Anolis sagrei: one gene and its partners. The protein of the gene in region 1 interacts with the protein of each later gene in a biochemical or structural test. Links are inferred from orthologs where the notes say so. Each region holds a gene or a part of one and is shown in the gene's direction. Other genes may lie near its edges.

The links.
Region 2: the proteins of MAGI3 (region 1) and ADRB1 interact in a test that uses a peptide from one of them, tested with the Homo sapiens proteins (2 studies listed by IntAct, with this or other methods). The link is inferred for Anolis sagrei from reciprocal best matches to the Homo sapiens genes MAGI3 and ADRB1.
Region 3: the proteins of MAGI3 (region 1) and ADRB2 form a complex in vitro, tested with the Homo sapiens proteins (2 studies listed by IntAct, with this or other methods). The link is inferred for Anolis sagrei from reciprocal best matches to the Homo sapiens genes MAGI3 and ADRB2.

The regions. Positions count from the first base shown.
Region 1 is NC_090024.1:202,225,596-202,233,177, forward strand, and holds the start of MAGI3 (membrane-associated guanylate kinase, WW and PDZ domain-containing protein 3), read left to right. Parts: upstream 1-4,577; 5' UTR 4,578-4,848; coding exon 4,849-5,197; intron 5,198-7,582.
Region 2 is NC_090023.1:206,905,501-206,913,031, reverse strand, and holds the start of ADRB1 (beta-1 adrenergic receptor), read left to right. Parts: upstream 1-4,500; 5' UTR 4,501-5,063; coding exon 5,064-6,362; intron 6,363-7,531. UniProt on the Homo sapiens protein: Beta-adrenergic receptors mediate the catecholamine-induced activation of adenylate cyclase through the action of G proteins. This receptor binds epinephrine and norepinephrine with approximately equal affinity.
Region 3 is NC_090022.1:101,798,940-101,806,942, forward strand, and holds the start of ADRB2 (beta-2 adrenergic receptor), read left to right. Parts: upstream 1-4,964; 5' UTR 4,965-5,708; coding exon 5,709-6,912; intron 6,913-8,003. UniProt on the Homo sapiens protein: Beta-adrenergic receptors mediate the catecholamine-induced activation of adenylate cyclase through the action of G proteins. The beta-2-adrenergic receptor binds epinephrine with an approximately 30-fold greater affinity than it does norepinephrine.

The DNA.
Region 1 (7,582 bases):
GCAGTTTATTTATTTATACTTCTTCTGATCGGCACTTTTTCTCAGTCAAAGGCCTGTCACTGTGCCACCCTTGGGCTTGGCAATTTGCACAGTATGCTGTAGTATTCAAAGAAGGAATGACAAATTCATAAAGTAAATATTGACAGAAGTAGCCATAAAATCTGGCTCCCTACATTTATCTCCCCTTCTTCTCATATTAATCAAAGATATTTCAAGAAAAGGACTCAATACTTTGATTAATGTATAACTGATTGATATATAACTTTCATTACAGTAGCATATAACAGAAGAAGCAGAAAGGAATGTAGGAGGTCCATTGTGTCTTACATGTATTTCAAAAAGAAGAACCAGCATTAATTAAAAAGTGAAAACAAGTAGAATATGTATATAATTATGTTTTATTGAAGAAAAGCTCATTGTAAATATGCTGAGGGCGAAGTTGATGACCAGAAAACAAAATAAGTTTTTTTTCCAAGCTGAGGATGAAGTCCTTACTATACTGTACAAAGGAAGTTATATTGCACTCAGTGACATTTACTTTTGAGGGGTTTTGCTGAAAGGTGGGAAGTGTCACAGAGAAAGTATTAAAAGGCTAAATAGTTAATGGCTATTTTGCCCCAGAACTACTTGGACCAATATCCTTGGTACCCAAAGAAACAGAAGATTAAAAAGTACACTGCAGCATGTCGCACATTCAATGTTTCTTTCAATCACCCTCTCTCTATATATGTATAAACAGTCTGAATAGCTATGCACATTTATTTCCCAATAAGCCTCATTGACTCTAGAAGGATTTATGGAGAAACCAAGCATCTGTTGAGGCACGAAATTTGCAAAGATGAGAACATGGATCTGTAAGTGAATTGCATTGGCAACGATGGGATTATTATTATTATTATTATTATTATTATTATTATATTTTTTGCTTCTACTTCAGTTTTCTAGTCACATCTACATTTTTTTGTTTGTTTATTTACAGTATTTATATCCTCCCCTTCTCACCCTGAAGGGGACTCAAAGTGGTCTTACAATCAGCAACAATTTAATGCCATATCAAACAACATATAATAAAAATAAACATCAAAATTAAAAGCAATATAAACATTAAAATCAAGTATTAAAACCAAACAGTCCAAAATCATAGTCATAGGGCGTTCCAGCCATAATTCCACGTATTCCATCTACCCTTATTGCACTACATTTCTATCCTAAGGCTTAGTCCCAGAGCCACGTTTGTACTTCCTTTCTGAAGGTCAGGAGGGAGGGGGCTAACCTGATTTTGCTGAGGAGGGAGTTCCATAGTTGAGGGACCACCACTGAGAAGGCCCTGTCTTCCATCCCCACCAGTTGCACCTGAGAAGAAGGTGGAACCAAGAGCAGGGCCTCCCCAGATGATCTTAACCTCCAGTATGGTTAATAGAGGGAGATGCGTTGGGACAGATAAGCTGGGCCAGAAACATTTAGAGCTTTATAGGCTAAAGTCAGCACTTTGTTTTCGGTAGCAAATGGGCAGCCAGTGGAGCCGACATAACAGGGGAGTTGTATCCTCCCTATATGCCGCTCCAGTGAGAAATCTGGCTGCTGCCCGTTGGACTGCTTGAAGCTTCCAAACAGTCTTCAAAGGCAACCCCATGTACAATGTACATTACAGATATAAATAATCTTGTTCTATTGACGTCCTTTTCCCTGGGTTGAAGATATAACTTCTTAAAAAATCTTCTTGTAGATAATGTTTACCTACACCCCTGCAGCTAACTGTTGTATTTAAATAATATTAGAAGAACAAACTAGCAGAAATGAGAAAATTAGCAACGATGCTTAAAGGAAAATCCCAAAAGAGCTATAGAAAGGACTAGGAACCATATTTAAATTTCATTTTTTTAAAAAGATGGACAATTATTTACTGCAGGTTTTAAACTTTAAACGGAAAGTTACCTTGCTTTAATATCTATTGGAATTCCAGTGTAAGAACTGAGAAGGTGTTTACGAAGTAGCTTAAGGAAGAATGCAGAGGCTTAGAACTGCACTGCTGAACAGGAATGCGCAGCCAATCCCTTTGGCACCAGGGTCAGGCTGATTAGATGCCAGCAATGCCAGGCAGCAGCTTTGGTCTAAGCCCTCTCTGAGATTCTACTCAGTGTAAGTGGCAGACTGAGAAACTGGCAGGAAAGACCCCCCAGGAGTTTTAGGTCCCTTTAGTGGGTATATCCCTCTCTTCTGTGTAGCAAAGCCTTTTATCTCTCCTGCACAAGGTAGGTGAGTGGCAACTCAAAGGTACAGACATTTCTTTCACCTTGTATTTTGGCCAGCCCAAATCACTAGTACAAAAGGATTAAGGTGACTCTGGAAGCTCAAACAAGCTGTGGTCACTCCAAAATGCACACCCCTAGAACCAGAAGAGATTCTGGGTTTCTGTGAGTTTTCCGGGCTGTATGGCCATGTTCCAGAACCATTCTCTTCTGACATTTTGCCCACATCTATGGCAGGCATCCTCAGAGGTTGTGAGGTCTGTTGGAAACTAGGCAAGTGAGGTTTATATATCTGTGGAATGTCCAGAGTGAGAGAAAGAACTCTTGTCCACTTGAGGCAAGTGTGAATGTGATTAGCATTGAGCAGCCTTGCAGCTTCAAAGCCTGGCTGATTCCTGCCTTTAGTTGCCTAGCTTCCAACAGACCTTACAACCTCTGGGGATGACTGCCATAGATGGGGGCAAAACATCAGGAGAGAATGCTTCTGGAATATGGCCATACAGCCTGGAAAACTCACAGCAACCCAATGATTCTGGTCATGAAAGCCTTCAACACACAGAAGAGGCTCCTCTTTCAGATGGCAAGGACATTTGTCTTGCCTAAACCTGGATGACATATGGACCACAGTTAGGGGCCAGACCTCTCAGAGGGGTCACCAGGGGGTGTCATAGGGGTCACCAAAGACCAGCAGAAAACAAAGTATTTTCTGTTGATCATGGGGGGTTCTGTGTGGGAAGTTTGGCCCAATTCTATTGTTGGTGTGGTTCAGAATGCGCTTTGATTGTAGGTGAACTATAAATCCCAGCAACTACAACTCCCAAATGTCAAGGTCTATTTTCCCCCAAACTCCACCAGTGCTTACATTTGGGCATATTGAGTATCCGTGCCAAGTTTGGTCCTGATCCATCATCGTTTGAGTCCACTGTGCTCTCTGGATGTAGGTGAACTAAAACTCCAAAACTCAAGGTCAATACCCACCAAACCCTTCCAGTATTTGCTGTGGGTCATGGGAGTTGCCTGTGCCAAGTTTGGTTCAATTCTATCATTGGTGTGGAGTTCAGAATGCTCTTTGATTGTAGGTGAATTATAAATCCCAGCAACTACAACTCCCAAGTGACAAAACCAATCCCCCCAACTCCACCAATATTCAAATTTGGGCGTATGGGGTATTTGTGCCAATTTTGGTCCAGTGAATACATCCTGCACATCAGATATTTACTATTAATAACAATAGCAAAATTAGTTATGAAGTAGCAACCAAAAGAATGTTATGATTGGGGGCCAACACAACATGAGGAACTGTGCGAAAGGGTGGCGGCATTAGGAAGGTTGAGAGACACTGCTTTAGTGAATTGCTATTCCAGAGTAAGAGGGCGAGATCTCCGAAACAGCAACGCCGCAGCCTGAGAGCCAGGCAGAGACCAAAGCCGCTTTGCAGCCCGTCCTGTCGCCGCCACAAACCCTTTTCCTTGTCCCTGAAAGTTCTTTTCTCTCTGACGTCAGGCCCATAGCCCCGCCCCCTGGAATGCCGGGTGGGGCTTTGGGGACAATAGCGAGCGCGAGGCGAGGGAGAGGAGGGGAAGTTGGAGAGGGAGAGAAGAAGTGTGTCCAATGGGAGGAGAGGAAGAGAAGAAAGGGGCGTGGTCTCCGGCGGCCGTGGGGAGGCCGCTTCAGGGAGAGGGGGGAGAATAGGGAGAAGAGAAGGGGGCGTGTCCTCTTGCCCAGGGGCGGGAGTTGAGAAAGGACGAGGAGGTGTATGCAATAGGAGAAGAAGGGGGCGTGTCTTCTGTCAGCCGTGGGGGAGAGGAGAGAATAGATTTGTCCAATGGGAGAAGGAAAAAGAGGAAAAGGGGGCGTGTCCTCCTGCCCAGGGGAGGGAGTTGAGAGTAAGGAGAAGGAGGTGTATGCAATAGGAGAAGCAGGGGGCGTGTCCTTTGTCATCCGTGGGGAGGCCGCCTCAGTGAGAAGGAGGGAGAATACGTTTGCCCAATGGGAGAAGGAAGAAGAGAAGAAGGGGCGTGCCCTCCTGCTAAGGGGAGGGAGTTGAGAGAAGGGATGAAGAGGTGTATCCAATAGGAGAAGGAGGGGGCGTGTCCTTTTGTAGAGAGAGCGAGCTGAGGGAGAGAAGCAGGAGAAGTGTGTCCAATGGGAGGAGGAAGAGAAGAAGGGGCGTGCCCTCCTGCTCAGGGGCGGGAGTTGAGAGAAGGGATGAAGAGGTGTATCCAATAGGAGAAGGAGGGGGCGTGTCCTTTTGTAGCGAAAGCTGAGGGAGAGGAGCGGGAGAGGTGTGTCCAATGGGAGGAGGAAGAGAAGAAGGGGGCGTGTCCTCGTGCCGCGGCCGGCGCGCGGAGGGAGCCGTCAGTTGGGAAGCAGCCGCGGCCGGTGGCGGTTGGGGAAGGCGCGAGGCAAAGGAGAGAGAGAGAGAGAGAGCGCGCGCACGCGCACAAGCACACAGAGGCGCGCGCTTGGCGAACTGGCCGGACGAGTGACTGACTGACTGACTGACTGACTGAGTACACAGTGGGAGAGTGGTGGCGCCTCCGTCGTCGCCGTCTCCTCGTCCTCCTTTCGGGCGGAAGGTCGCCCATGGTGCGGCCTCATGTCTAAGACGCTGCGGAGGAAGCGGCACTGGCTGAGCAAAGTACAGGAGTGCGCCGTGTCCTGGGGCAGCGGCTGCGGGCCGGACCCGGAGCTCCTCCGCGGGGGAGCCGAGCGCGGAGAGTTCCCTTACCTCGGCGCCCGCCTCACGTCGCCGGCCGAGCCCTCGCCCTCCTCGTCTTCCTCAGGCGGCGCTCCCGGCTCGGTCCTGCTCTCGGGGAAAGCCCCGGCGCCGGGGGACGTCTTGCTGGAGGTGAACGGCACCCCGGTGAGCGGCCTCACGCACCGCGACACGCTGGCCGTCATCCGACACTTCAGGGAACCCGTGCACCTCAAGACCGTGCGGCCAGGTCAGTGCCTCGGGGCCGCGAAATGCCCTCCCGCCTTGCCTGCCTGCCTGCTTTGGGTGACTCTACACCAGGCATGGGCAAACTTGGGCCCTCCAGGTGTTTTGGACTTCAACTCCCAGCATTCCTAACAGCCTCAGGCCCTTTCCTTTTCCCCCTCAGCCCTAAGGGCCTGAGGCTGTTAGGAATGCTGGGAGTTGAAGTCCAAAACACCTGGAGGGCCCAAGTTTGCCCATGCCAGCCCTCATCCCTTTCTCCTTCATAAGCTCAAGCTATCTCTCCCTCCCATCTCCTTGCCCTTGGGGCACATTCTCGCCTTACCTGAGCACTCCTGGCCCTGTTTCCAGGCACATTTAGCCCCCTAGGGTGCATCTATGCTGTAGAATTTGACACCACTTTAATAATAATAATAATACACTTTATTTATATTCCATTCTATCTCATTTATTTACTCTTACTTGTATCCCGCCTTTCTCCACCCTGAAGGAGACTCAAGGAGGCTTTCCGTAGGACAACTCTTCAATGCCTTTGAACAACAAACAGTTAAAATACATGGAGTGAAAGGTTTAAAATTAAAATGGAATGCACATTTAAAATATGCCTGTGGAACTCTCTACCCAGTGACGTTAGATTGGCTCCCTCCCTCTTTTCCTTTAGAATGAAATTCAAAACCTGGCTGTGGGACCAAGTGTTTGAACAGTAGAGGCAGCAATTTAGAATGAGACCCAATTTGTGTGAATTACAATGGACTGATCTGGACTATGATTTCAAACTTGCGTGATTTAAACAATGTTTTAGTAATTTTAAAGCATTCACAAATTGTTTTAATTTCTTTTATTTATTTATTTACGCTATTTCTATCCCGCCCATATCATCCTGAAGGCGACTCAGGGCGGCATACAGAGTCGGCACAATTCGATGCCATATATAAAATACATACATTGATAAAAAGCAATAAAGAAACATTACAGTACATTTAAAATCATAAAAACAATGAACAATAAAAATTTAAAGAACTATATCGTCTCGTTCAAATCCTCATCCATTCCATTGTCTTGGCCGTTCCTGGGTCATTTTCTGATTCAAGTTTGTCTGTTTATGCTGTGGTACCGAAAGCTTGCTCGAAGAGCCAAGTTTTACTCTTTTTCGAAAGGTCAGAAGGGAGGGGGCTGATCTAATATCCCTAAGCAGGGAGTTCCACAGCCGAGGGGCCACCACAGAGAAGGCCCTGTCTCTCACCCCCGCCAAACATGCTTGCAAAGCAGGCAGGATCGAGAGCAGGGCCTCCTCCGACGATCTCAAGTTCGTGGTGGGTTCATAGGAAAAGATGCGTTTGGATAGATAAGCTGGGCCAGAACCGTTTAGGGCTTTATAGGCTAAAGCCAGCACTTTATCATTCATTACTGCTGTTTAGCATTGAATGAATGCCTGTTGGGAAGCCACTCTGAGTCTCCCCCTCAGGGTGAGGAAGATGGGGTACAAATATGCGAAATAATATAAATACGAACATATATACATATAAAGCATTACACTCACTAATTAAAAATCACACCACTCGCAATCGTAATCTGGGACCATTTCAAAAGCCATTGCACATAATGTTGACAAGTTGTATTGTGTCCAGAGGAGGGCTACTCAAATGATCAAGGGTCTAGAGAACTAGCCCTATGAGGAGTGGATCAAAGAACTGGGCATGTTTAGCCTGAAAAAGACAAGGCTGAGAGGAGGCATGATGACCATGTATAAATACGTGAAGGAAAGTCAGAGGGAGGAGGAAGCAAGCTTGTTTTCTGCTGTCCCTGAGACTAGGACGCGGAACAGTGGCTTCAAACTACAGGAAAGGGGATTCCACTTGAACATTAAGAAGAACTTCTTGACCGTTCAAGAGTAGAACTCTCTGCCCCAGAGTGTGGTGGAGGCTCCTTTTTTGGAGGCTTTTAAGGAGAGGCTGGATGGCCATTTGTCAGGGGTGCTTTGAATGTGATTTTCCTGCTTCTTGGCGAGGGTTGCATTGGATGGCCCACACAATCTCTTCCAACTCTATGATTCTATGAATTTCGTAGCTTTTATTGCAATGTAGTTAATCTCCAAAGGCTTGACCCACAGGGCCAGATTTTCACTTTCCTTCTGAAGGCCAAGAGGGAGGGGGCTGCTCTAATATGACTGGGGAGAGAGTTCCACATCTGAGGGGCCACCACTGAGTAGGCCCTGTCTCTCATCGCCATCAGTCACATCTGCAAAGGAGGGTGGATCGAGAGCAGTGCCTCTCCAATATGATCTTAATCTCCGAGGGGACTCAGAGCAGATTACAGTATGCACATAAATAGGGAAACATTCCATGCTTTTTATACAGTGAACAATTACATACTATACACAAACAAAGGAAAA
Region 2 (7,531 bases), on another chromosome or scaffold:
ATTCACCACTGAGTCTCTTCAGATAAAAAAGTAGTATGTAAACAAAAAGGAGGAAAAAGAGGAAGAAGGAAGAGAAGGAGAAGAAGGAAGCAGGTGTAGTAGTTCTTAAGGCCCCTTCTATCCTGCCATATAATCCACATTATCTGGATTGAACTGGATTACATGAGTCTACAAAGCAGATAATCTAGATTTTATATGGCAGTGCAGAAGGGGCCCAAGAAGAAAGATTCCATTTGGGGGCTTAGAGAAATAGTAAGCAAAGGTGTGTATGGACACAATAATAAACATCAGGTGTGTATAAAGTGCTGCATGATACACAAAAAGTGTGGAAGCCAGTGTGATTCTGGTCCCTTCTACACAGACATATAAAATCCAGATTATCTGCTTTGAACTGGATTATTATTATTATTATTATTATTATTATTATTATTAAGGAAACTCAAGACTTGGCTGTGGGACCTTGCATTTGACCATTGAAAAGAGGCTTATATGAAGAAGACATAAGCAATTTCGAAGTGACAATGAATTGACCCGGACCCAGATTTTAATTGGCGTGTTTTAACAACTGTTTGCTTAATGTTTTGTTTTAATAAATTTGTTGATTGTTTTTATCATTATGATGGCACCAAATGGTGTTTGCTGTGAGGCTGTCCTGAGTCCCCCCTAAGGGGGGGGGGGTGAGAAGGACAGGTTACAAGTATATGAAATAAATCAATAAATCATATGGCAGTGTAGACTCATATAATCCAGTTCAAGCCAGATAATGTGGATGATATGCTTTGATAATCTGGATTATATGGCAGTATGGAAGGGGCCACAGTGATTTCAGAGTTGCGGTAGGACTGTAAGAACAGAGTTCAAATCTACAAATGGCATGGATATCCACTGGATGACCCTAGACAAGTCACAATCTCTTGGCCTAAGAGGAAGGCTAAGACAAACCTCCTCTGAACAAATCCTGTAGAGCCAGTGTTTTGTAGTAGTTTGAATATTACAGCCTTATCACACAAGGCAAAATAAGCATCCTAGGACACTTCTGCCCCAGTTCAACCATGGAGCCCCACACTGCCCATCATATGACATCGGGCGACTTCTGGTGGGGCTTCATTGATGAACTGGGGCATCAGTGTGGAAGGACTACTACAAACACAAAGGTAGCCCCATGTTCCATAAGAAACAACACATGGGATGAGGAAGCATCAGTTGCTGGCTGGGGCTCCGGGATTGCCCCAATACTACCCTGATTTGCCATGGATGCTGGCGAATCACAATCCTGGTAAGACAGCATGTGATGAGGTCCTTAGACTGTGTACAGACCAGGATTTGAATCCCTGATCTGTCATGGAAACCCTCTGGATGGCCTTGGGCAAGTCACATTCCCTCACTATCTTAGGAGAAAGCAACCTCAGAAGGTAAGCTTCCCAATAATGCCATAGCACAGCAATCGTCTGGTTAATTACACATTTGTGTGTGGGGAGGGGGGGGAGGGAGGGAGAAAGATTGTGTGACTAGTGTTGCAGTCAGACCTCTTTATATGTGAGGACTCAGTTCTGCAGATAGGAAGAAAACCGAATCCTCTCTTTTAAACTTGTCCATAATTACTGATAGTCATCAGAGGGCTTGATGCATATCTTGCCACCAAGGATGTATCCATGACTAGACTTTTTCTTTCTCAGCATCTTCATCATGTAAATCCCTCCCTTGGTGCTTGACCTTCTCTTTATCATACCATAAACGGGCAGCTAAGACTATTTGATTCGGTTGGCATTTAAAATGAGAACCAGCCTGGTATAGTAGTCTGAGGACTACACTTGACTTGAAGCCATGGAAACCCACCGGGTGATTTCGAGCAAGTCATACTCTTTCCATCTCAGAGGAAGGCAAAGACAAACCTCCTCTGAGCAAACCTTGCTAGGAAAACCGTAAGATAAATTTGCCTTAGGGTTGCTGTAAGTCAGAAAGGATTTGAAGGCACATAATAACGTAACTAAATGTTGCACTACTAGATCTTAAAATGGGGAACATTCAGTGCATCCATAAGGAAGACTTGCAGCAGCAACAACAAACATCCAAAGGGAGTCAGGGCGTTTTTCTCCCTATAATAACATCAATCATATTGCTAATTTGAATGGTGATAGTAATGATTAACTTTCTAGCCTGCCTTTTCCCTCAGAATCAGGACTAAAAAGGGGGGCTAACCTTGCAACAGAGGCTCATTTCAAGAAGCGCAATGATGAAGCATTCATTCAGGGCAGGTAAACAGAAATCCTTCCACAGCTCCTTCCTAAATGCTTCCCCCAAGATTTGTTTGGATGGCTTTTAATGGTGTTGGGAGGAACAGCAAGAAGAGCTGAGGTTGGTGGAGAATGCCTGTGGCTCTGGGATGCCTTCAGGATCTCAATTAAAGCTTGTGCACCAGTTGCACCTGTATCTTGAGAAGCCAGACCCACGCTCTTGTTACATCAAGAATAGATTACTGCAATGCACTCTATGCAGGGTTGCCTTTGAAGACTGTTCAGACGTTTCAAATAACCCAAAGGGCAGCAGCCAGATTCCTCACTGGAGCGGGGTATAGGGAGCACACAACCCCTCTGTAACGTCAGCTCCACTGGCTGCCAGTCTGCAACAGAGCACAATCTGAAGTGCTGGCTTTATCCTATAAAGCCCTGAATGGTTCTGGCCCAGCTTACCTGTCAGGGCCTTCTAAGTGGTGGCTCCTCGACTCTAGAATTCTCTCCCCAGTGAGATTAGATCAGCCCCCTCCCTCCTGACTTTTAGAAAGAGAACAAAGACATAGGACCAAGCTTTTGACTGGTAAAGTAATGCAGTACAAGAAGTAAATATGGAATATGTGCAATTGACATTTGCTGGAAGGGAAGGGAAGGGAAGGGAAGGGAAGGGAAGGGAAGGGAAGGGAAGGGAAGGGAAGGGAAGGGAAGGGAAGGGAAGGGAAGGGAAGGGAAGGGAAGGGAAGGGAAGGGAAGGGAAGGGAAGGGAAGGGAAGGGAAGGGAAGGGAAGGGAAGGGAAGGGAAGGAAGGAAGGAAGGAAGGAAGGAGAGGAAGAAAAGAGAGAAGGAAGGAAGGGTGGAATGGAATGAAGGGAGGGAGAAAGAGGGAGGGAGGAAAGAAGGAAAGACAAAAGGGAAGGAAGAAGGAAGGAAGGAAGGAAGGTAGGAAGAGGGGGGGAGAGAGAAGGAAGGACAAAAGGGTGCAAGGGAAGGATGGAAGGAGAGGAAGGGAGGAAAGAAAGAAGGAAGGAAGAAAGGGTGGAATGGAATGAAGGGAGGGAGAAAGAGGGGGGAGGAAAGAAAGAAGGAAAGACAAAAGGGAAGGAAGGAAGGAAGGAAGGAAGGAAGGAAGGAAGGAGAAAGAGGGAGAGAAAAGGAAGGAAGGACGAAAGGATGGAAGGGAAGGATGGAAGGAGAGGGAGGGAGGGAGGAAAGAGAGAAGGAAGAAAAGTTGGAATGGAATGAAGGGAGGGAGAAAGAGGGAGGGAGGAAAGAAAGAAAGAAAGACAAAAGGGAAGGGAAGGGAAGGAGAAGGAAGGAGAAAGAGGGAGAGAGAAAAGGAAGGAAAGATGAAAGGGTGGAAAGGAAGGATGGAAGGAGTGGGGGAGGGAAGGGAGAGAAGGAGGAAGGAAAGAGAAGGAAAGACAAAAGGGAGGGAAGGAGGAAAGGGTGGAAGGGAAGCGAAGGGGAGAAAGGAAAGAGAGAAGGAAGGAAGGAAGGATGAAAGGATGGAATGGAGAGAGGGAGAAAGGAAAGGAAGGAAGAAGGAAAGGATGGAAGGGAAGGAGAATAGAGAGGGAAGGAGGAAGAAAGCGAGAAGGAAGGAAGGATAGGCTGTTGAGCGAGAGGAGGGCCTGAGAAAGGGCCCAAGGGCCCACATCTGGTCCCCAAGCCTGGGTGTGCCCATACCTGGGCTATATAGCCTCCTTTGCCCAAAGGGTGCTGCTGTGTCTCACAAAGATCTCACAGCATGGAGCTATGGCTGTCAAGTTGCATCCCTTCAAGCCTGGAAAGGCAGCCTGAAGCAGCACTAACTGCCGCCTCCACTGCAACTTAGCAAACCGGGGGGGGGGGGGGGGGTCAGCCATAAAGAACTGTGCTGTCCCTAGGTTTGGCTCCAGGGGGAGGACGAGGGACAGGAGGAGGAGGATGAGGAGGACAGAAGAGGGCGCATTCAAGGGCATTCATTCGGCCACCAGAGCTGAAAGCGAAAGGCTTCCAGAGAGGGAGGGGGGAGAGAGAGAAAGAAGAGGAGAGGGACAGAGAGAGAGAGAGAGAGAGAGAGAGGAGGGAAGGAAAGCAATACAGGGATAAAAAGTGAGAAGGGGAGAGAGAGAGAGAGAGGAGGGAAGGAAAGCAATACAGGGATAAAAAGTGAGAAGGGGAGAGAGAGAGAGAGAGAAAGAAGGGGAGGCACACTGAGAGTGTATGTGCATGAAGGAGAGTGGGGGGTATAGACGAAGGGGGAGGTGAAGGACAGAGTGTGAGAGAAGAAGGGAGCGGGAAGGACAGGAAAAGAGGGCCAAGAGGGACCTAGAGATAGGCAGACGGGCAGGCGCAGAGAGATAACGCTTCCGAGAGAAACGTGGACTCCAGGGCGAAGGCAACGCTCTCCTCGAGCCCTCGTGGGCGCCTGGAGCTGCCTTCCTCCTGGTCTCCCTCTCCTCCTCCTCCTCCTCCTCCTCCTCCTCCCTCAGCCCCCCTTCTTCCAGAGGAACCCCTTCAGTCCTGCCTCCCCCTCCCTCTCTCCCTGCCTGAGTTCTCCGAGGGCTCGCCATTGGCTGCCCGGGTGCCGACGTCACTGGAGGGGGCGGGAGGCGTCTTCAGAGGCGCGGGAGCCCGCCGGAGAGGCTGGCTCGCGCAAACCATGCTGGAGCCCCGGAGCAAGTGGCGGCGGTGGAGGCGGCGTCGGAGGCGCTCCCAGCAGCGGCAGCAGCTGCTGCCAAGAGCCCGGCTCTCTTCCTCCTCCTCCTCTTCCTCCTCCTCTTCTCCTTCCTCCTCTTGGATGATGCCCTGAGCGGCCGGACCCCTCTTGCTGCTCTCCGCCGGACAGCCATGGGAGATGGCTGGGTCTTCCTAAGCGAGAGCCTCCAGAACCGGTCCAACTCCAGCGGTGCCCAAGGCAACGCCTCGTCCGCGCCCAGCCCGGGCGCCTTGCCCCTGGCCCCCAAGGAGCTGTCCCAGCAGTGGGTGGTGGGCATGAGCCTCCTCATGTCCCTGATGGTGACCTTCATCGTGGTGGGCAACGGCATGGTCATCGCGGCCATCGGGCGCACCCAGCGCCTCCAGACCCTCACCAACGTCTTCATCACCTCCTTGGCTTGCGCCGACCTGGTCATGGGATCCGTGGTGGTGCCTTTTGGGGCCACGTTGGTGGTGCGTGACACCTGGCTCTGGGGCTCCTTCCTCTGCGAGTGCTGGACCTCGGTGGACGTCCTCTGCGTGACGGCTAGCATCGAGACCCTCTGCGTCATCGCCATCGACCGCTACTTAGCCATCACCTCGCCTTTCCGCTACCAGAGCCTCATGACCAAGAAACGGGCCAAGGTCATTGTCTGCGTGGTCTGGGCCATCTCGGCCCTGGTCTCCTTCCTGCCCATTATGATGCAGTGGTGGAGGGACGACGACCCCGAAGCCTTATTGTGCTACGACGACCCCGGCTGCTGCGACTTTGTCACCAACAGGGCCTACGCCATTGCCTCCTCCATCATCTCCTTCTACGTCCCGCTCTCTGTGATGATTTTTGTCTACATCAGGGTCTACCGAGAAGCCAAGGAGCAGATGAAGAAGATCGACAAGTGCGAGGGGCGTTTCTACAACAACCACCACCAAAAGCAGCAACACCAACAGCCGCCAACCCACCAGCAGCTGCCTATCCTGGGCAACGGTCCGGCCACCAGGAGGAAAACCTCCCGAATCTTGGCCGTACGGGAGCAGAAGGCCCTCAAGACCTTGGGCATCATCATGGGGGTCTTCACTCTGTGCTGGCTGCCCTTTTTCTTGGTCAATGTGGTCAAGGTCTTCAACAGAGGGCTGGTTCCAGATCAGCTCTTTGTTTTCTTCAACTGGTTGGGTTACGCCAACTCCGCCTTCAACCCCATCATCTACTGCAGGAGCCCTGATTTCCGGAAGGCCTTCAAGAGGATGCTGTGCTGCCCAAGGAAAGTGGACCGGAGGCTGCATGCCACTACTGGGGATCTCTCTCGGTACCCGGGGGGCTTCATTAGTACTCTCGGAGATACTGCCCCATGCACTCTTGGAGGGACGTGGTCCGATTACAATGGTGGTGCCCGGGATGGAAGTGACTCCAGCTTAGAGGACAGGAACAGTAAAACCTCCCATTCAGAATCCAAGGTATAAGGGCAGTTTGGTGGGAAGGATCAGAGTTCGTGGTCAGTCCTGTGGAAACGGAAAGGGAGCTGAAGGAATAGACAGAACAGGAAGGAAGGAATAACTAAATCACTTGGGAGTCTGGCTAATGTACAAATCACCTGATTGACTTGCCATTATGGGGGAGAGAGTTGTATTTATCCTAGAGGGAAAGCAGGTGAACTTGGCTGTTCCATACCTCTTCTGAATCACCCGAAATGGAAGCAAACAGAGAGCATCTGGCCATTGAACAAAAGAGGTTAATGATCCACCTCCCACCCCCATCCCAACCTCCAAGATATTTGGATTATTAGTATTTACATGGAGGAGAGTTGCATGGAGAAACGGGGAGGGAGGCGTGAGTAAGTTTGAAGGAGTTTGCCAAACAAATGGCTTGTGAAGAGCTGGACTTGTAGCAGGCACTTAGGCTGAAAGTCACTGAAGGAGGCAACCAGGGTGTGTATTCCTTTGCCAATAATGGAAGGAAACATCATTGAGCCCTTGGTGGTTTGATTGGAGACTATGCTGGTTTTACAAAAAATGTTCTTTACATTTATCCCAAGAACTTAGCACAAAAAGTAGCCTCTTTTCAAAACATATATCGATATGTATCCTTTTCTGAGAAGTGCTGGTCACCCATATAAATCCATTGATACCAGCATGACTTTCGTGCAGGCAGTCAAAACCTTTTGCAAATCCATTCTAAAAGGCTCCTTTAATATGCTGTCGGGGGTAAATACCTTGGCGAGTTTTATCATGAGCCTGTGCGTATTTAGCAGAATTGAGTTGATGGAAGTTACCCTCAAGTAAATGTGCATTAGCTTACAGCCTTAATATCCTCGTGGCCACATTCTCCTTAACATCCTAGGAGGAAATGATCAATCAGTAATATTGACATGTTGTGTATTCTAATCAAGTATCTCCTTATTTCTGATCCATATTATATCCCATTGACTTGTGGGGTGGGGTGGGGGCTGAAGGTGCATTCTTCTTGTCCTACGAGACAACAGCAATCAGGCTACAAATTGTCTACCTCAAGCTGTGCATATTGTACAGGGGAAAACGTGTTTATATTAAACCGCTTATTTATGTCTTGTCAGTTAGGGGTTTGTTTTGTTTTCCATAGAGACAGAAGCATCCATCCTCTAGTAATC
Region 3 (8,003 bases), on another chromosome or scaffold:
TGCACAGAACTGAAAAAGTCAAAATGTCTTGTTCAACTCTATTTCATAGCACTTTTCAAAAAGCTTACTTTCTAAATGTACTCCTTGGAAAAATGAAATCAGATATAATAATAACTTTTATCGTACCTTTCTATTTCATATGCAAGCAGAATTCAATATGCATTTTGCCTCTCAATCTCTTATGTTGATCTTTGGAAAGATAATAAATTAACAAAGGTTTGGAACTTAATATAAGGTGCTGCCTATTATATTTCCCTACTTGGAACACCAAGTAAATATTGTGTTACATGTCAACTGATCTCCACATAGAGGTGTGTGTGTGTGCCCCCACGTGCATGTGTGTAATAGATACGATGAAAGAAAGGAACAGGAAAACAATTACAACTTGATTAAGAAAAAGCTTGAATGACCGAATACATGGATTTTGACCAGGCAGGAGGGGTGTATTGGAACAGGACAGAATAGGGATTCTGTTGGTGTAACGCCCATCCCACTGCTCAACAGTCTCCCTTCCTGAGCTAGCAGGAGTGGTCTCATGGTTGGCATTGGAGTCTCAGTGACTAATAGTTCTGGGAGATTTCAACTTCCATACTGAGACTGCTCCATTGGGAGTGGCTCAGGACTTCATGGCCTCTATGACAACCACGAGTCTGTCCCAGATGGTGTCTTGCCCTTTCCATGCTGCTGGACACACTTTGGATCTTGTTTTCTGTGCAGGATAGGATGATGGTGATGGTGGTGTGGAGGAATTGGTCACAGTTCCATTGTCATGGACCAATCACTATCTGGTCAAGTTTAGACTAGCTGGGACTCCAAACTTCAAAGGAGTGTGTGACCAATTAAGATGGTCTGCCCCAGGAGACTTATGGATCAGGATGGGTTCCTGTCAGCTCTTGGGGATTTTCCTGTCACCTTGGCAGGTGATTCTGTTGAGGCTCTGGCTCACCTCTGGAATGGGGAAATGGCCAGGGTAGTAGACACAATTGATCATGAATGTCCCCTCTCATGGAGCAGAGCCAAACCAGCCCCTTGGTTTTCCAAGGAGTTGGTAATTATAGAGCAAGTGAGATGGAGACTAGAGCAATGTTGGTGGAGAACTCAAAGCAAATCTGACTGAGCACAGGCTAGAGGGTATTTGAAAGCCTACTTCATGGCAAAGGGGGCAGCAGAGAAATCATTAATTGCTGCTACCATTGCATCTGCAAAGAACTGACCAGCTCAGCTGTTTCACGTAGTCAGGGGACTATTACATATTGCTCCTCAAGGAGAAATCCCTGATTACTCAGCAGCCCAATGTGAAGAATTTGCACAACATTTTGCAGATAGTCACTCAGATCTGTTCAGAGCGACTATGGATGCTGTTATTGATACAGTTCCAGTGGATGTAACTTTGGCTTATCTAGTATTGATGGAAACCTTTCAGTCTTTGCAGTCTGAGGGTGTGGACAGGATCCTTGGAGAGGTGAGAGCTACCACGTGTATTCCAGATCCTTCCTGGCTGATCAAACAGGTCTCTGGAAAAACTCCTTGCTCAAGAGAGCCATTTACTATATTCAACAAAGGACCACGTAATCCCTCCAAGCAAAATTTAACTAGCCAAGAGGGACACGGGTCGAGAGGGCAAGTGGTTGATCGAACTGCAAGAGGCTGATCAAACCTTTAAAGCCATAAATGGTTCAGGTCCAGGCTATTTGACTGACTGCATCCCCTTGTACGAACCAGCCTGGACTCTGAGATCTTCAGGAGAGGCCGTTCTCTTGGTCCCACATCCAACTCAAGCTCGTTTCGTGGGAACGAGAGAGTGGGCCTTCCTTCTTGGTGGCTGCCCCTCAACTCTGGAACTCCCTTCTTCCCAGGGAAGCCAGAATGTCCTTCTAGTAGCAGGCTAAAACTTTTTTTTATTCAGGCAGGCTGTTAAAGATGAAGGTGTTTAAAACCTTCAAGGGCTGCTGTGATTTTGTGGTGTTATTTTATATGCATTTATGGTTTTAACCTGGATTGTTTTAATATTAATGTTGTTTAATGCTGTTTTAATATTTGTATATTTTAAGTTGTATTGAAATACTTTTAGTTGTGAGCCACTTTGAGTATGGAGAGAAAAAGCAGGATATAAATAAATATGTATATAAAAGAAAAGTACTTTTGAATGAACTACCCACATTATTTCTGGGTTGTTAAATTATTCTTCCCTTTCACTGACAAATCCCAAAAGACTAGAATACAAATAGAGACTCCATTTTTGTGTAGCTGCAAAATGAACTCATATTCTGTAGTGACCTTTAAAAGCTCATATGTTCACTTGTGAATTTTCCATTCTGTAGTGGCAGGTCATTACCAGGAGGATCTACCAGGATGGCAAGTTGTGGAGAGATGGAGGATAGTGTGGGTGTTAAATATGTGATGTGCATGTGTGTGTACACTTTGCCAGTTGACATATTGCAATGCCATTAATTTTCTGTGGTTTTCTTAGACAAGGAATACTCAAGGCAATTTTGCCCTTTCTTTCCTTTGAAATATAGCCTGCAGCTTCTTTTTTCATTGGCAGTCTCCCATCCAAGTACTAACCAAGGCTGGCCCTGCTTGGATACAAGTATCAGATAGGAGCTAATGTATATATACAATGGAAGAAAGGAACAGTTAAACAATTATGACTTGATTAAGAGAAAGCTTGAATGACTGAATTCATGGATTTTGACTATGCAGGAGGAATGTCATAGAAAGGAACCAATAATAACTGCAATGAATGAGAGATCAATAAATAGTTTAGGCCATAAGAAGAGGCAGGGTAGATGAAGTCCAAAATGTCACACCTAGGGAGGCAATGTTTTCTTCTGTTGCCAACCGTAGATGTTTAATAAAAGACCCCAGGCAAGTAAACATAAATTCTCCCAAACATAAAAAGCACGCAGGAGGTAATATATAGCCCTCATGACTTTACTGCTAATGAATTGATCTTTACACTTTAGAAAAGGAAAAGCACAATCTCATTGTACTTCTTGTTAATAGCAGCTATTGAGAAACACAAAATACAGTAAGTATGACTTCCTGGTGTTTTGTTTATCCCTCTCTGACAAAATATGTCCTCTCTAGCCATTGGCTAGGTTCTCTGGAGAGACTTTACAGTTTTCTTGGGCCAAAAATTATTCATTTAAAAAAGGGTTAGCAATTATTATTATTATTATTATTATTATTATTATTATTATTATTATATGCAAAGTCCAGAAATATACTCTCAACCGATACTGGGGTTGTGCTCCATTTAAAAGCCTCTGCATCTTATTCAAGTAGGGACTTCAAATGTGGCAACCCAAAAGCCCAGTAACTATTATTTTAGAAACCATTTTTATGACATTCATGCACCACCAACTGAGCTCCAATTGTCTTCCTCTCCGTTATTATCTCACTGAGGTCCCATGAGGTTTGTTGTTGTATGTCTTCATGTTTCCAACTTGTGGCAACCTCAAGGCACTTCTGTCCATACATTGCAGCAATAAATGCAGACATGATGCTTAAATAAATATGAGGCCTGTCATAGGTCAAAAAAGGGTGGTTGGAAAAAACTGCAGGGTGACACAGGCTGGATCTACACTGCTCTGTATTCCAGATTATCAGCTTTGAACAGGATTATACAAGTCTCCACTAACAGACAATCTGGGGTCAGATCCTGGGATACAGAGTAGTGTAGATCCAGCCGCAGTCTTTCTCTCAGGTCGCACCTACACTGACCATTTAATGCAGCTTGGAGCTAAACTGAGGTGGCTATACAACCAACTCCCACAAAAGCATCCATAACAATGTCATCATCAATGTGCACCAGTGCTCTCTTGTTTGTGTAATTGCCATTCCGGCCTCCTTCTGGTTTTAGGATATCCTAGGTGATCAATGATCATCTGCACAGGGAAAACACTTTCTTCAGCACCAGTTTGAAGCTGCCTGAAGTGGCCAGTGTAGATACACTGTCGGACCAAAGAGAAAAACATGCAGTTTTCGGAACAGGAAAAAGTAGTTCCCTGTAGATCAGTGGTTCTTGACCTGTGGGTCCGAAGGTGTTTTGGCCTACAACTCCCAGAATTCCCAGCCACTTTACCACTGCCCTAAGTTTCTTGTGAGGGGTCTGCTTGTGTGAATGGTTTACAGCAGAGGTTCTCAAACCTTTTAAACAGAGGGCCAGGTCACAGTCCCTCAAACTGTTGGAGGGCGGGATTATAATTTGAAAAAAAATGAATGAATTCCTATGCACACTGCACATATCTTATTTGTAGTGCAAAAACCACTTAAAAACAATACAATTAAAATGAAGAACAATTTTAACAAATATAAACTTATTAATATTTCAGTGGGAAGTGTGGGCCTGCTTTTGGCTGATAAGATAGGATTGTTGTTGTTGTGCTTTCAAGTCATTTCAGACTGAGGTTGACCCTCAGCGAGGGTCGGGTAAATGATCTTGGAGGGCCGTATCCGGCTCCTGGGCCTTAGTCTGAGGATCCCTGATTTACATTCTGCTTAGACAGATATAGATTCATGGGACCTTCAAGTTGGAAAAGCCCACAAGGGCCTGTCTGGTTCAGCACTGCCCATCTTGGAAGGATGTGTAACAAATACTCTCTGGAAAGATGCCTCCCAAGAAGAGTTTGCAGATTTCCAAAGGAGATACTGCTGCAGAGATTAACGTGTAGACCAGGCATGGGCAAACTTCGGTCCTCCAGGTATTTTGGACTTCAACTCTCACAATTCCCAACAGCTGGTAGGAGTTGGAGTCCACAACACCTGTAGGGTCGAAGTTTGCCCATGCCCAGTGTAGACTTTGACAAAAACGAACACACCATCGGTGCGATACATTGGTGGTCCGGCCATGCACACAGGAGTAGAAAGCCTCCCACCACGCTTTCCCGCCACGACAGGGCTAGATGAGTCCCCCGCACCCGCACGCCCGCCCATCCCTCGGGGCACCAAGCCCCGGAGTTCACTTCCCAAAGGGTCCTGCGGAGGATGAAGCCCGTGGAATCCTCTGAGGACGCCAAGTAGGAATGGACGTGGAGGGAGAAGCTCGGGCTGGCAGACTCCAGGCGAAGGGCTTCCGCCGCGGCGCCCCGGCCCCTTCCTTCCTGCTTTCCTGCTTCCCCGTCGCGGGCTCCTTCCTCCTGTTCTGTCGGGCGGTTTTGCCGGAGCCCAAGCAGCTCCGGCTTCGGATCAGGTGCCGAAGGGAGCAAGGAAGGATCGGACGGAAGGTCTCTTCCTCTTCCCAACGGCCAAGCCAGCCATTTCCCCCCAGCCTTCCTTCTTCCCTCGGCGATCCCCGCAGAAAGAAAGAAAGAAGGAAGGAAGACAGGCAGGCAGGCAGGCGGGCGGCAGCCGGACCGACGGGCGGGACCCCATCCCGGAGCGTGGCTGCGCGGGTGTCGCGCGCTCGGAGGGTGGCCGTGCGCCGGCAGCCCATTGGCTGGGGGCGGCTTGACGTCACAATTAGGAGTTCCTATAAACTCCCCTAAACCTAACGGGAGCCGGGACAAGTTCTTCGGCGGGCGAGGGATCCGCAGGCGCGGCGCGAGCGGGAAGGAAGGAGGAAGGAGGAAAGCAAGGAGGAAGGACGGACTGGAAGGCAAGGGCCACATGCGGGGCCCGGTCCCGCCGCGCCTCCAAACGGCACTTCGTCGCGGCCGCCGGGAAGCCAGAGCCGCCCGAGGCTGACTTGGGCTCCTGGAGGCGCCATGGAAGTGGCCAGCTCCCCCGCCAGCCCGCTCCTGCCCTTCGCCTTGAGCCTGAACGATAGCCCCTCCGGAGGGCCCAGTTCGGGCAATGCCACCGCCTCGGAAGAAACCTGGGTGGTGGGCATGGGCATCCTCATGTCCCTGATCGTGCTGGCCATCGTCTTTGGCAACGTCCTGGTGATCACCGCCATCGCCAAGTTCCAGAGGCTCCAGACCGTCACCAACTACTTCATCACCTCCCTGGCCTGTGCCGACCTCCTGATGGGCCTGGGGGTGATCCCCTTTGGTGCCAGCCACATCATCCAGCGCACCTGGAAGTTTGGGAACATCTGGTGCAAGCTCTGGACCTCCATCGACGTGCTGTGTGTCACGGCCAGCATTGAGACCCTCTGCGTCATCGCCATGGACCGCTACTTTGCCATCACCTCCCCTTTCAAGTATCAAAGCCACCTGACCAAGAATAAAGCCCGGGTGATCATTTTGTTGGTTTGGGTCATCTCCATTCTGACCTCCTTCTTGCCAATCCAGATGGACTGGGACAAAGCTGACATCCCTGAGGCTGAGAAATGCTACAAGGATGAAAACTGTTGTGATTTCTTCATCAATGGAGGCTATGCCATCATTTCTTCCGTCATCTCCTTCTACCTGCCATTGGTGGTCATGGTTTTTGTCTATGGGAGGGTCTTCCAGGTTGCCCGGAAGCAGCTCAAGAAGATAGACAAGTGCGAGGGCCGGTTCCACCAGCAGAGCTCCCAACAGGAACAGAATGCAGGAAGAGCCGGTCACAGGAGAGTGTCCAAGTTTTGCTTGAAAGAACACAAAGCTCTCAAAACCCTGGGCATTATCATGGGCACGTTCACGTTGTGTTGGCTCCCGTTCTTCATTGTCCACTTTGTGCATGCCATCAATGAACACGTGATCCCCAAATCCCTGTACGTGATCTTGAACTGGCTGGGATATGTCAATTCTGCCTTCAACCCCTTAATTTACTGCCGTAGCCCAGACTTTAGGTATGCTTTCCAGGAGATCCTCTGCTTCCGGAGGTCTGCCTTGAAAATGTACATCAACGGGTATTCCAATAGCACTGGAAAAAATGACTTCATTGGGGATCACAATAGCTTTCATGCGGGGCGAGAAAAGGCCTGTGAATTGCTCTGTGAAGAAGACAGCCTTCCTCCTGGGGAAGAGCATTTGCATTGTAAAGGTACTGTGTTGCATGGTAACGTTAATTTGCAGGGATGGGACATGGTTGATGACCATGGCTGTTGATGGTAATGACATGTAAAATGGGAAATAGAACAGCTGTTTGGACAACTGCAGTGGTCCCAAATGCAGGAAGAGATCCCACGCTGGCATGTTATGGTTATACCAATATTTAAGGAAGGGCATGATTGGATTTGCGTATATATCAATTAGAGCTCCTTCTTCCATTAAGAGCAAATGCACTGCTGGGCCTTGTCCTCCAAGGAACTTCTTTGTTGTGATGTAGTGTCACCATGTTCATCTACCTCACAGGTGTAGGAATTGCAAGCACTGAGCTGAGCTGCCTAAAAGTGAAATCCCTGCGCTTGAGAAAGAATTTGGTGCTATTGATGACGCATCCCCTCTTTAGAAGATGATGGCTCTAAGGATTCCTTTAAAGCAGACATGTGCAAACAATGACCCTCTAGGTGTTTTGGACTTCAACTCCCACCATTCCTAACAGCCTCAGGCCCCTTCCTTTTCCCCCTCAGCTGCTTAAGTGGCTGAGGGGGAAAAGAAAAGGGCCTGAGGCTGTTGGGAATTGTGGGAGTTGAAGTCCAAAACACCTAGAGGGTCATAGTTTGTACATGTCTGCTTTAAGGCAAAGATATCAAGCTCAATCTGACAGATTTAGGAATACTGTAAAGTCAATGTTTACCTTTTGTTTAAGTTATTTGAATGTGTCGTGTTTTAAACATTGTATGGAAATCAGTTCAAGGAGAACCTCCAAAATCTTTATTAATTATAGCTGATACAAATACAACAAACATAATGTTTAGCACCACGTTATTTTAGTTTTTCAATGTATTTCACCCTGTGAAATACCACTTTGAAATTTGTTTTTAATTGTCATCTTCAGGGCTTATGTCATTGAGAAGCTGAGAGTTGCCTTGCAGTGTAACTAGCCCACCCTCATCGCCCATTTATCATATTGCACCAGTAGTAATATTCACGGGTTTCTTCATTCAGGGCTCATAGTTCCATATTTAGACTCTTGGCAGATACAAGGCAAATAGTGAGGAACTTGTGTGGGTCCTTATTTTAAAATCATGA